Alligator mississippiensis: one gene and its partner. The protein of the gene in region 1 purifies or fractionates together with the protein of each later gene. This does not show direct contact. Links are inferred from orthologs where the notes say so. Each region holds a gene or a part of one and is shown in the gene's direction. Other genes may lie near its edges.

Region 1 (7,496 bases):
CAATCTTTTCCGGCCCATGGCATACTGGCCGGATGCGGAGTGGGAGGGGGGTGGCACAGGGCTGGCCAGGGTGTGGTGCAGGTGCACAGCTGCAGTGGCAGTACTGCCTGGAGCCATGCCCAGCCAGAAGCCACACCCCGCCCAAGATTTCACGGCACACCTGTTAATGTCTGATGGCACACGGGTTAGGAAACACTGGCCTAAACCCTTTCTGAATCTGGCAAAGTGCCTGGTTTAACGACACCCTGTGTCTGTAAGTTCCACAATCTAATGACGTGATGAGAAAATATCATGAGAGAATATTTCCTTTTATAATTTTTTAATTTCCCATCTCTAAGTTTAATTGAATATTCCTTTGCTTTTGCATTACTAGACAGGGTGTATTTGTTTTCCCTATCTACCTCATCTAGTCCATTCACTACTAAATATGTACATTAAACTTTCCTTTGGAAGGTCAACAATTCCAGTCTTCTGTCTGTCTATATATGAGAACTTCTTTTTGCCTGTAATCATTTCTGTCACCTCTCTAAATCCTCTCAAATTCTATAATATATTTTGTGATATGCAGCATTTCAGATGAGGCTTCATTATTGATATGTATAATGGACAGGATAAAAATACAAGGAAAAAAATTACATCAGTTTCATACATGTCCTAGCAATATAGGGTTACCATATTTCCAGTACCAAAAAAGAGGACACCTGTGGAGGTGAGGGGTTATATGTTTGGGGGGGGGGGGCAGTGATATGCCTGGGTCCTGCCTCTGCTCTTCACTCCCAAGCCCTTGCCACCCCCAGCCCTGCTGGTGCCTGTACCTTAGTCCTGACCTGCAGCCCCTGCCCCCCCCCCCCCCCAGCCTTGCTGTCCACGCAGCGCGCACACACACACACAAAATCTGTCTCTCTTACCTGGGAGCGTGCCGGGCCTGCATGCAGGCCACATGACCCCTGACAGCCAGTCACCTTGCCTGCTGCTCTCAGCCCCAAACAGCCAGCGTGAGAAAGCAGAGGCAAAGGCAAAAACTGGAACATTTGCTCTCATTTCAAAAACCCATCCCAACACAAGGACAGGGGGCCAAAAAAGAAGATATGTCCAGTAAAACCTGGACATATGATAACCCTACATCTTATTTGCTGCCTTGGTCACATGTCCACTTTGAACCATGGTCTTCATTGACATGCAGGTCCTTTTCTTGGGTGGATGAATTAATCTGCATTCAACCATACTAAGGACGGAGGGTAGCGGGGGGAGGGAAAGGTGACTGTGTGTAATTCAAAATGGACAGTCCAGGATCTGGTACTTCCCATTAGAGAGACGGGTCAGAAATTGTTATATCCTGCTAATCAAAACCATACAACATTTTGTGTTGCAAGACGAAAATGTTTAGCTGCAACTGAAGAAATTGGGTGTTGTCTTTCCTCTTAATAAATTAAATCATTTGAGTCATTTGCAGGTGCAGCAAACCACAAGAGATTTCTCTTTTTAAAAAACATTTTTTTAACTAACATTTACTGACTTAATATGATTTATGATTTTACAGAACACTAGAAACAAGTCTCCCAAAACAAAATGACATCAAAGAAACATGATCTAGGACACACAAAATCATGAGAGAGTGTGTAAACAGTATTTATCAACATTTGCTTATTTAGCAATGACAAAACAACATACTTTTGTCTATCCCTCTCTACTGCTAGTCCACTTCCTGTCTGCCCAAGTTGTTTTTTTCATCGTCTCAAAATAATTATCCCTTATATTTTTACCAAGATTATTTGTACCATACAAATAGGCAGATACTATCAGAACAACTTCTGTTTGCCAAGTGTTTGGCAGGATGAAATTAATCAATTTTTCCAGTACAAATATCCAAGTGATATTACTCGCTATGGTTTTACTTGAATCTTCATCCTTATAGGTGCAGTTAAAATGGAAAACACATTAAATAGGCATTTTTCCTTGAAGCATAAATTAAGGATCCTCTATAATAATCCTAACTTTTCTCATTTTTTTCTGCATCAAACAGGGTTTGTGGCTGATCTTTTAATGTTTCCATAGAGCCACCACATGGACTCATATCCCAAAGGATATCTTTACATACAACTCTTGGTTTAAGTGAATGCAGAAAGCAGAATACAGAAATATGTTTTGTTGATTTCTTCTGAAACTACAAGATTCTCAGCTAGACTGTCTTACTCCTTAGCTCAGGAGTAAAATCATTTGGTATCAGGAAATAATTTAACCCCATGATCAAATCTGCACGGACTGGGGCAGGGGAAGGGAGGTTGCCTTCCTCTGATGCAGTATGGTCCCCTTTCTTGGATCTCTTGAGCAGACAAGGTTCTTTAGGTAAATCTGATATCTTTTATTAGACCAACTCAAAACAGTTGGAAAAAAAAATCTTTTTTGCAAACTTTTGGGCACCAGCACCCTTTGTCGGGCTGAGGAAGCATCTCCAGTCGGTGTGTGCTCTTCCTGGATGGAAGGGATAGTAAAGAAGCCAAAGGCTGGCATGCATGCAAGGCAGGCAGTCAGCCTCTGGCTTCTTTACTACTCATTCCATCCAGGAAGAGCACACACCCACTACAGATGCCTCCACAGCCTAACAAAGGGTGTTTGTGCCCAAAAGCTTGCAAAGAAGAATGTTTTCCAACTGAGTTGATCTAATAAAAGATATCAGATTTACCCAAAGAACCTTGTCTGCCCATGTCCTTAGACCAACATAGCTACAACCTACACCCTTGCATCTCTTGAGTGCATTTTAACAAACTACTTTCTGTCCTTGCAGTAGCAGGACACTGACAATGTGCTCATCCCTCTGCTTTACATGTGCCAAGTTAGGGTGGTTTTTGATGTTTTCAGGAACTGTACCTGGTAGTTGTGCAAGAGGGTCGTAGTTTTAAGGTTGGATTAGACCAGTGATTTGCAACCAGGGTGCTACAACATGATGTTATTACTGTTACGTGTGCAAACAGGATTCACAAGATAAACCCACAGATGTCAAATAAGAATCCATAGTGCCAAAGACAGTCTAATCTGTCATGGTCTGTTATTTGCAACAGAAGCATTTTTCTGTAGTAAAAGAAAACCCAGGTGAAAACTAAGAGTGGGCTTTTCTGAGGGGTGTCTCGAGTCTAATGAGGCTGAGAACTACTAGGTTAGATAAACACTTGTTATAGGGGTGCTCCAGCCTCGGGGGGTGGTTGGACTGGATGAGCTCCTGAGGTTCCTTCAAGCTCTACTCTTCTTACGATTCTAAATATTTTCCCTGTTGGTCACTAAGCCAAGTTTAAGAAAAATAGGACTAGTCAACAGATAGCTTTTTCTTTGCTCTTGTGCCCGGCAAGTTGAGATGCTTACCTGTCTTGTATGATGATGTCAGTCCTTTTTATTTGACCATCGATTTTATTGGACTTCTGAAGACTGCATTTTGTGCAAAGGAAGTCATCCCTCAACGCCCACACAGAAACCACAGAACCATTTGGGAAGTTCATTAGTATTGGGAAACTTACCACCTGCAGCTACTGTCATATATCTATTTTGTACACAGGACACGCTTTGTTTTCTGGATATCCCCCCTTTCTCTTGGACTACGTGACAAAATTAATGGAGCAAGTCTGTGTAACAGACTTTCTTGCCAAGAGTCCAGACATTTTTCCTATCTGCCTGTCATTTTAAAATGCCTCCTTCATAAAAGAAACATTTTCAGTTTATTTTCCTACAGATGACACATAGCCATCTGGATTTTGTCAATGTTTTGTTCAATGCCTCTCAACAATATTTTGATGGCGCGGATCCACTGTCTGAAGGCAAGAGACTTTCTGTGAATGAAGTGGGAGTTCGTTCAGCGGAGGGAAAGAGGTTTCAAAGGGCAGCTGTTGTTCCTGCTAGGCACAATACTTGGACACTCGATCTGGGCCAGCGCCACTGCGGATTCAGCTGGACAATGAGTTTCCCAAGGAAATAAGCCAGCACAGTGGAGGGCTACTAGGTTATCTACAACTAAGAAAAGGAGTCGCCTGTCTTGCACAGCCAGAGGCAAAAGAGGACACAGCTGTGACCAGGGGAGTGAAGACAACCAGGGGAAACCCTGTATCTGTAGGGGCCCCCTCTCCTGCCTATTATCTTCCTCCGACTTAAGCGGGCCTGCTCGTCCCAAGATTTTGTTAAGAGCCAGGACGAGGCGGGTCCTGCGCGCCCCGCAGCGGGACAGGGACAGCTCAGCAGCTCGGGCACGGGGCGGGCGGGAGCCCTCCCCCCAGGGCACGGAGCGCAGCCCGGGCCTACCCGGACCCGCTTCCTCGCTCCGGGCCCCGACGGACCAGCCCGTGACCCAATCCGAGGGCCGGCCCCGCCCCCACGGAAATAAGGTCAGAAGGCTCCACAAGCCCCACCCTCCTCCCCGCGGACTGAAGGAGAGCTCCCTCCCCCCGAAACCGGAAGTACCACAGGCCTCCCCTTCCCCCTCTCCAAACCCGGAAGCGGAAGGGGAGACTGGACTTCCCTTCCCCTCGCTCCGGAAGTAGTAGCGGGTTTATCCTCCGGCCCCAAGCCGGAAGTATCTGTGGGTGTTTCTCGCTTGCTCCGCGGCGTAGCGGGGCCCGGCGGGAGCAGGGTGAGTGCGCTGGGGGCCGGGCTCCAGGCTTCCCCGCCTGGCTGACCCCCATCCCCGCGGCATCCTGCCGGCCCCGCCTGGCGCCGGGGGGATTCTCGGGCGCGTCTGTACCGAGGTTACTGCGGAGGAGCGGAGCGCGGGCACGGCCGAGCCGCGAGGCCGAGCGCCGCCCAGACCTGGACCTAGCCCAGGCGAGGGGCCTCGTCGCCGGTTACACTGAGGCCGCGTGAAACCGCAGCAAACGCACGCTCGGTGCCGGCGTCTCGTGCTGAGTGCGATAGTCTCGTGGCCAAGCCAGGGCTGTTCGGGGGAGGCATGTTTCCAGACTGTAACTAGGACCCTGCCCAGTTATCTTCCAGCTGGTCCGCACTGATGAAACCGGCGCAGCTTCCTGTCCCCACCCTGGCACTGTACCAAGGCTTCAACTGGCCCTGGTACCTCCCACACTTTGGGAGCAGTTTGCATGTGTGCTGGAAGAGCCTTGATAGATAAACCAGACAATGTTACCGGTGTCATGTCTCTTACAGAAACACAAGAAAGTAATATGAGAGAGGCTGTACAAGTGACGAGTCTTGTTTTCAATTCAAGGTTGAATAGATGGATTTCCCCCTCTCTTCCCCCCCAGGAGATACTGTGTCAATATCAGGCAGGGCAAGGTTGAAGATGGGGCCTTGAGGTGATGTCAGAAGAGCTTTTGACATTTATCTCTAACATACATTTCTAAATCTTTGCATTAGAAAGAACTCTAAACCGTGCCCTACTTGTCCTAGCCTCTTAAGATGCTGTAGACAGTTGAAGGAGTCTGTATTCTCTAACACTATTACAAATTCCTTTGTTCACAGTTTTCCTGTCAATGGATGTCACTTGATTTTTTCCTTCACCACTGTAAGCCTGGTCTGCTGATTGTATAGCAAGCATGAGTGGCTCCAAGCCTGATATTCTGTGGGCTCCACACCACGTTGATCGATTTGTTGTATGCGATTCTGAACTGAGCCTCTACCTCATTGAGTCTGCTGTGAGTTCGGAACCCAAAGCAGGATCTTTGCGATTGTCAGAAGAAACTGCTGCTACATTGTTATCAATAAACTCAGACACACCCTACATGAAATGTGTGGCTTGGTATCCTAAATACGATCCGGAATGTCTCCTAGCTGTTGGACAGGCCAATGGCAGAGTTGTTCTTACCAGCCTTGGACAGGATCACAACTCAAAATCCAAAGACTTGATAGGCAAAGAATTTGTTCCAAAACATGCCCGACAATGTAATACCCTAGCATGGAATCCACTGGACAGTAACTGGCTTGCTGCTGGCCTAGATAAACACCGGGCTGACTTTTCAGTACTGATTTGGGATATCAGTAGCAAATACACTCCAGAGACTGCAGTTGCCACAGAGAAAGTAAGACTTTCAGCTGGTGATACTGAAGCAGGGCTGGTAGTCACAAAGCCACTTTATGAACTGGGACAGAATGATGCTTGTCTTTCTCTTTGTTGGCTTCCACGGGATCAGAAGCTTCTTTTAGCTGGAATGCACCGAAACCTGGCTATCTTTGACCTTAGGAACACAAGCCAAAAGATGTTTGTAAATACTAAGGCTGTCCAGGGGGTAACTGTAGACCCGCATTTCCATGATCGTGTGGCTTCTTTCTATGAAGGCCAGGTTGCCATATGGGACCTCAGAAAATTTGAAAAACCTGTTTTGACCCTGACAGAGCAACCAAAGCCCCTAACAAAAGTAGCATGGTGTCCAACAAGAACTGGACTCCTAGCTACTTTAACCAGGGATAGTAACATCATTAGATTGTATGACATGCAGCATACTCCCACGCCTATTGGAGATGAAACAGAGCCTACAATCATTGAAAGAAGTGTGCAGCCATGTGACAATTACATTGCTTCCTTTGCGTGGCATCCTACAAGTCAAAATCGAATGGTAGTTGTTACTCCCAACAGAGCGATGTCTGACTTCACTGTCTTTGAAAGGATTTCTTTGGCATGGAGTCCAGTAACTTCCTTAATGTGGGCATGTGGCCGACACTTGTATGAATGCACAGAGGAAGGAAAAGCTAGTTCTTTAGAAAAAGATATAGCCACCAAAATGCGTCTGAGAGCTTTATCCAGGTATGGCCTCGATACTGAGCAGGTCTGGAGAAATCATCTTCTAGCTGGAAATGAAGATCCTCAGCTGAAGTCGCTTTGGTACACTCTGCATTATATCCTTTCAGATGTAAACAGCTGTAGAAAAGGGAGAGAATTGCAAAGGAGCCTTCTAGTCTCTGTAAACTGTTTATGTTATATATTAAATACATAAAGAGCATAAAGTTCAAACAGTGTGGGACACTGCAATACTCTATGAACACTGGGAATGCAGGGAATGAAAAATTCTACTTTTCAGGCAGATAGAAAAAAATTATTGGAGGATGTATGTTTTAAAGTCTGTCTCCTTAACCAGCTGGGATACCTCAAAATATGCTTACCTAGTTGCATAATCAGAATAGCATTTATTTAATTTATATAAATACTGTGTCTTTTTTTCTTTAACTGTAACTCTTCCATTGCTGTTGGTGATATGTCAGTTCCTCAGCTTGAGTTGTGATAACTAATATTTGAAAGGGACTTTGAAGATGAAAAATCTAAAAGTACTAAATATTTAGCAATCAAAAATGTACCCTGAATGCTGCCTATTTTTTAGATAGTTATATAATCTTTTAAATGGAAACTAGTCCATTTAGTGTCATATTTTTAACTATCACTTTGGCAGAATAGAGAGGAAACTGGATATTCCTTGTCCCCTGCTTACTTTCACTAAAGGTTTGTCTAAATGAGGAAATACACTAGCACAGTAATACTGTTATAATACTAAACAAAGTAAGGGCTTGTCTCG
Region 2 (6,960 bases), on another chromosome or scaffold:
TGAGATTATCCTGTAAGCTCAGAGGTGCCTAATGCACTTGGAGATTTGACACTAGTTAGCACAATTGCAGCTGCTCCTTTAAAGCCAAAAGAGAGATCGGGTGCTTTGAAAAATTAGGGCCATTAGGGGAACGGGGTGCCCCTGGCTAGGGAGAAGAGTTTGGTAGCATGATGTGCCTCCTGCTTCTGCGTTGTTGATTCAGATTCAGACCTGGGGCAGTAGTGACCCTGCACGGTGCCCGTGTCCTCTCTGGTTGGTGGTCTGTACACAAGTCAGCGTGGGGCTCCTGATGGAGAAGTATCTGTTACGAGACCACTCGCCCCTCCAGCTACTGGCAACACGTGTCCGTTCTCACAAAATATACCATACGGCGAAGGGCAAAAGAGGGAGAACTCCCCTTCCCTTCTCTGGGAGCCACTTCCAGCTCAGGTCTGAGGCCTCATGGAGAGAGGCGTTTGCCTTGCTGCTGGCATTACTGCGTCCATCGGGTGAATAAAAGGGATACCATCCTTCAGGACCCAGCTGGCACTATTTGCCAATGTGATGCTTGTCCAGAGCATGTCAAATCTACTGCAATTCAACAGGAGACAGCTGAGGGGAGAAATAGAGGGTGGCATGTTCAAAGCTTCTAGGGGATGTGGGTGCAAAAGGGGCATTGAGATTAATGGAAACTGTGCATCTCACCCTCCTAGGCAGCTCGGGACATCATGGCTGCAAGAGAAGCCGAAGCGGGATGATTCTGGAAGCATTTAGACCATCGTCAGCCCAGGGCAAGTCAATTAATGAGACTGAGCCTCAGTTCCCCATTTGTACCACGGGGAAATAGCAGTGCCCTACTTTGCAGTGGTGGGGGAGGATGCAGACTTGAGCTGGAGAGGACATAAATTCATGTGATGATGGATTTTGAAACGTGGCTTTGTTCTGCATAGGACAGAAACTCCCAAACACGAAGTTAAAGTCAAACCAAACCTCCATTTGGGTGGATGTGTTTTGATTTGACTTTGCATTATAATTTGTAATACGACACACAATTATTTTAAAATAATTGCACAACAGAAACTGCAAACATTGATTTCAAAATGAAGGATCTTGACATTATCAGAATTGTGGTTTGTTCCCAGTTTTCTTCTGAAGCAAAATTCCAGCTCATCAACTTAATTTCACAACCCGCTTTGATTCTGTCAGAGCTGCCCGTTCCGGTGGTAGATGGTGCTGCTGAAGTTTCCTGCGCGGCTCGGTTCAGATACAGGACAGGCTGTGAGTAATTCAGTGGCCACAACCATCTGTGCCACACAGAAATAAGCTTGGTGGGAGTAACATTGAAGCGGATCAAATGCTTTCCAAACAGGGTGAGCTTGTAACGGGGCATCGAAGAGGAAGGAAGAAGATTTAGCCAAAAGCAAGGCCTGATTGTGCCTTGTCAATTATTATTTCAGTTTGCATCATGTAAATAATAGACAAATTGGGCACAGAACTTAACCCTCTTCTTGGCTGTCTCGGGTGTAGGGTAGGTGACAAGTGTGCTGTATGGGGAGCCGATAGGGTTTTGGAATAAGGGGCATTTCACGTTGCAGACAAGCCATCCCAAAAATTACATTCCCATTTCAGCTCGGAGCAATCTTGAGCACAGGTATGTGCTGCCGACATGCCGCTCATTCTTCCCTGATGGCCAAGTCCAGAGAAGCAGCAGGTGATGGTCTGTCTGATTAGGAAAGCACAGGGCTTGGCTCCTGCTGCTTTTGAAGAGCAAGCTCTGAAGCCTGACGGGGAAGGTCAAAACACCCTTGGCACCTTCGAAGGTGTTTTGCAACCACTGGGTCACAACCTCTCTGCAAATGGGGGAGGAGGAGTCTCGTCATCAGGCAGGCGAGGGGGTTGCGATTGAGAAATGTTAGTGCAAAGCAAACACAGGTGCCAGGATAACTCGGGGCCGGCTGAAATCTCCCTTGTTTGTGAAGTCAAATGCAGTGGCTGGGGTTGCCTTATAGCAGCTCATCATGCTTGCATTGTTTTCATTACATAGAAAAGGGAAGAAAGGCCATGAAGATGTCTAGCTTTGAAGTGTCACCCACCCAAAAAGGTTGTGAAAGATGGTTTTAGATCATCAAGTCTGTCCGTGAGTTCTGGGGTCCTTTGTGGATGCGTGCGTGTGTGTTTTCGTGCCTTTTTGGAGGACCCGACGCTTTTGAGAGAGATGCGCGTGTCTATCCTGCAGACTGCAGTGCAGCGTACAATAAAACGAGGTTAGCGCCGGTACTGGAAATAGTCTTGGGGCTCAACAGGGACTGACTTCCCCTGCTTCTAGCTGAGTTTCATGCTGCTACTTGTACACGCCTTCCAGGACCCAAGCTGGCTCACTGAAAGCCAGCTTGTGTGTCTCTGCCCTGCACTGCGGCATAGGCATCCCGGCGTTTTAACCAAGGTCTTCTACCTGAAATAAAACGAGCGCGTGCTGTGCACAACGCTACCCTGAATACGTGGAGCTGCTCAGCTGTTAAAATCTCCCAGGTATCAAATCTCACGGATGGATATTTCCATCCTTCATGGTTTCTTAGGAGCACCAAGTGCACAGCTGTGAGAGTCCAAACGGGGGCTTTTAGTTTCATAGTGGAGATGGGGAAGATTGTGGGATTGCCCATATATATATATGTATATAAAGCTAATGTTTTTAAAGCTTTGTCAGTGTGAGAGCAAGCTAACCCGCACTTGGGTTCTTAATCCCCAAGGCTTTGTCACCAAAGAGAGCTGAGGCAGTGAAAGCTTCATCCCATATTTGTTCCTTTCAGCTGCTTCCTATTGATTTGCAATAAAGGGGATAGGCTTTGGACAAGCAAGCCGGTGGCAAAATGACACCGTGATGAATGTTTCCTCGGCTTGGGTGCCCCGCGCTGTGTGGCAGCCATAGCAGCACATGCCACGATCCTTTCCAGTCGCAGAAGCTGAACAGGATCGGGCCAGGTCAGTATTTGACCGGGGACCTCCTAAACGCTGCAGATGTTGTCAGGGACTCGGGAGGAAGAAACTCTTCCCTGTGACTCAGGATTAAACGAGCATTTCCAAGCGCAGCGTGAGCAGCGCAACGTGCTGCAAAAGCGATGCACCGAAGATGCAAACCAGGCCCATTTAAAATATGATCTCCCTGTGAAAGCACGGGCTGCCAGCGTCTGTACCTCCACCGAGAGGTGGAGCTGTCTTTTCCACTTGGGCGAGGCTGTCGTCTCGCTCGGATATTGCGTTGTTGCCTCCGATAGAGGCTGGCAGAGGAGGGGGCAGGAAGGAAACGAGTCCTGCCTGGGAGTGCTGGAATCCTTGCTGGCCCCCACCGAGCCCTGTGCCGGCTCGAGGCGAGTATTACACCGTGCATGATGCTCACTCCTCTCTCAGGCTCCTTTTGCATGAAGCTGGCATGTCTCTCGCTGCAGGGCTCTTTCTGCTGCCGGCAGGGCCTGTCCTGCCCCCTTGGCATGTTCTCAGTGCCCTGCCCCGAACGGCAGGCGCCAGACCTGGACCAGCTCGGTCTCCCCAAGGCCCTGCACCCAGGTGACACCCCCTGCCTTCTGCTCCCTGCTTTCCCCCTGTACCGACGGGGCTTTTGGTTACAACATCACGCTAGGAGCTCATAACTAACGAGAAACAGGGATCCTCTGAGATGGGGCATCTATGGGGCTGGGGGGAGGTTACATGTGGACAGTGTGGCCCCCTCCTCGGAAGTCCTGCAGGCCGTGGGGCTGGCAGCGCAGAGGACTATGTCTCCCAAAATGTCCTGCTTGGCTCTGGGCTCCGTTTACCTGTGCCGTGGTGCTGGTTTTGCTACCCGATGGCCGGGCAATCCGGTTGCATCAGCTAGGGCTGCTTTCTCGGGGTGATCACGTTGCATCTGCTTGGGATGCTTTCTCAGCCTGCCCAGGCCTGGCCTGACTTGTCCGTCTGTTTGCTTTGCAGAGCACCCAACCGGCTGGCTGAGAGGCAGGAGCTCGCCTTGGGACTGAGCCAGGGGCGGCCGGACCGTGGCGTGAATGGGCCTGCAGCTTTGGAAACTCCCTGTGAAGCAACCGGGAAACCAGCGCCGGCTGACTGGGGGGAAGGCAGCCTCCAAGCCTGGGCCCAGACGAGTCCCCTGTGACTTCCCCGTGGCTGTGCTGCAATGATGGACCACGGGGAAGCTGCGGATGGTGGCACCCCTGTGCCCAGTGCTGTGCCGGCAGGAGAGCAAGGAGCTGTGGCTCCCAGGGGCCTGGATCCTGGGAGATGGGTGGGGTTGTACAGTCGAGGCGAGAGGACCAGAGAAGAAACGATGGATGCGCTGGGGCGGGAGCTGCTGAGCGGCATCCCCAGCACTGGCCCGTCCCAGGGGGAGACGGAGGAGTCCCCGGGCCTCCACCGGACATTGCTGCTGCTACTCCGGCTCTCCCAGAGCTGCCCCTTTGGAGAGACCCAAGAGAAGTGCTCCCAGCTGCTGCAGGCTCTCCAGGTAAGGTGGCCGGGCAGCTCTGGGCACCAGCTGGGTTGCAAGCACACGTCAGCAGCATGATTGCAACATCACTGCACACGTGATGTGCATGATTACGAACATCACTGCACACGTACAGCCCCCTGGTTCTGCTCCTGGCATGGCCGCTACCCCGCCGGGTGTCCTTAGGCAAGTCGCTTCCTCAGTTTCCCCTCCTATACACGGCCTGCCGTGTCTGTGCAGGAGAGCCTGTCTCTCCCCAGGGGTCTGTGCGGCTCGTGGCCCAGTGGAGCCCAGCCTCGGGTCAGGCACCTGCACAGACGTCAGCAGTCACAACAGCTGTCGTGCTGCAGCGGGATGGTTTTGTGCAGTCCTTTGTACCAGGAAAACACCTGGTGTCCTGCTGGAACCGGGCATTGCTCCCTGGCTCATAGGGCGCAGAGCTCCCGTACCCCAGGGCAGCCCCCATACCCCGAGATCGCAGCTTGCACAGCCCTGGGACCAGCCCCAAAGTGGGTGCAGCTGGTTGCAGGGGAGCTGGGATCCTTTCTCCCCATCCTCTTTGCATTGCTCATGGTCTCTGTGCAGTGGGAAGCAAAAGATGTGGTGTTGCTTTAGGCTCCCCCAGCATAGGTACTGGGCTCAGTCTGGCCCAGCATCAGCACACAGCCAGATGCACAGGGGAGCAGGGAGGCCTGGCGTTGGCTGAGGACACGGGACCAACTCCCTGCTCAGCTGAGACCTTGACATGGGCCCGGTGGTGTAGGGCTGTCTCCTGCACAACCACTGACCTCTGCATGACTCCACTTATCTGCTTGGGAAGATGAAGGGCTGATTCACCCCTGAGGCTCCAGCTGGCCAGTCCTCCGGCCAGTGGCTGCCTAAATGTCTGTGGGAAGTGGTGGAGAAATCTGCTGCCCTGGTATCAGATGCTCTTTGCCCTCCCTGGCTTTGTACTGTATCCCCCCATGGGGACACTCCCTGCAGCTGGGAGAGCCCTGTAGATGGGAGGATAGAGCCTGCCGCCTCTCCCAGAGCACTGGTGAGCTCTGAGCTGGGTGCCATGTGCTGGGTAAGGGATGCCCTTTGGTCCCTGCATCACCAGGTTGCTCTGCAGAGCAGGTGCAGTGGCTGCTCCAGTGCTAGCTAGCAGCAAAGGCAGGCAAGCGGGGGGAAAAAAGAAACCCTCTGATGGGTCAGTCCCTTCAAGCTGGCTCACAGGCACGATGCTCAGCAGACCATCCAGGTCACAGCTCTCTGTGACCTTGCTCAGAAACCTCCTCCCCTGTGCGCAAGGATAGCAGCATCCTTGCAGCTGAATCCAGATGAGAGGAAATAGGGAAGTGACTGGAGAAAGGAGCCCTCCAGGGTGCTTTCCGCTGCCCAGAGAGGAGTTACTGTACATTGCATGGTCAGTATGAGTGTTTTGTGCCACATCCGCTGTGCTTGGATGCGACAGCCCTCGGGGCTTGTATCTGTCGATCTACATTGGTAAAAGATGGAGGCAGCTAAATACCAGCATCGCTTATCCCCATCGCAGACAGTACATGCTGTACTGGTTTAACTGGGGAGGTTGTAGTAGTTTTAAGTAATCATCCTGTTACACACCTGAAAACTTTAACACCACGGAGGTTGCTTTGAAGCAAGCCCCCGACCTCTCCTGTATCAGAAGCCAGAAAACGTAACCCCATTCCCTCTGTGTGGCTCAGCCACGTGGATTTGGCTAAAGCGCCTTCCAGAAAGGCCTCCAGTCTGGATGTCTTGAGCAGTACAGAATACACCACTTTTATTATAAGAGTGAATTGCTGTTGCTATTTAAACAAAAAAAAATCCGTGCCGTTGTTTGCACTGTAACTTTGGCAGGCAGACTGGATTCCAGAGAGCTCAGACACGAGTTGTGGCAAGCTCTTTCTGGACAGAAGCATGGCTGGTTTTCAAGCTGATGGCGTGGCTTGAATATCTGCAGGGCATTTGGTTGGGAGAAGCGGTGTGATTTCAAGAGGAATCCGTTGCGGGTGGTTTTAAGATGGAGCCGGCTCCGTTTATACAGCAGGAGTTGGACTGGAGAGCCCTCAAATGTCCCTCCTAGCCCTATTGCCCACGTTGCTCCTGGGGCACCACGCATCCGTGAAGGAGGCCCCGCAGCCCACCCCGCTCTGTGCTGGCCAGGATTCGCTCTTCCAGTGCTCATCAGTCAAGGGACTTGCCCCAGCGAGTTGGTAGCAGAGTCACTAGGCCATGCTGTAACCACTAGGCCATGCATCTTTCCTCGCGCTGCTGTTGGTTGGACTGGGAGGTTGCTGCGAGGGGTGGGAGGGCAGGATGGGGGCCATGAGGGATGGTGTGACATGGGGTAGGTAGTGTCAGCTTGGAGGAGACAGAGGCTTTGGGAGCCAGCCCGTCCAAGGGAAAAAGTGTTCTTCCCCACCCCTGGCAACAGCCCTGGAGGCCCAGGGGGCTGGGCAGAGATAATCAGAGAGGCCCGCTCTCGTTAGCCAGGCGGAGAAGAC

The links.
Region 2: the proteins of MIOS (region 1) and SESN2 purify together in Homo sapiens (affinity purification with western blotting; 5 studies listed by BioGRID and IntAct, with this or other methods). This does not show direct contact. The link is inferred for Alligator mississippiensis from reciprocal best matches to the Homo sapiens genes MIOS and SESN2.

The regions. Positions count from the first base shown.
Region 1 is NC_081828.1:170,973,072-170,980,567, reverse strand, and holds the start of MIOS (GATOR complex protein MIOS), read left to right. Parts: upstream 1-4,476; 5' UTR 4,477-4,612; intron 4,613-5,454; 5' UTR 5,455-5,528; coding exon 5,529-6,825; intron 6,826-7,496. UniProt on the Homo sapiens protein: As a component of the GATOR2 complex, functions as an activator of the amino acid-sensing branch of the mTORC1 signaling pathway. The GATOR2 complex indirectly activates mTORC1 through the inhibition of the GATOR1 subcomplex.
Region 2 is NC_081829.1:2,266,043-2,273,002, reverse strand, and holds the start of SESN2 (sestrin-2), read left to right. Parts: upstream 1-3,945; 5' UTR 3,946-4,144; coding exon 4,145-4,471; intron 4,472-6,960. UniProt on the Homo sapiens protein: Functions as an intracellular leucine sensor that negatively regulates the mTORC1 signaling pathway through the GATOR complex. In absence of leucine, binds the GATOR subcomplex GATOR2 and prevents mTORC1 signaling.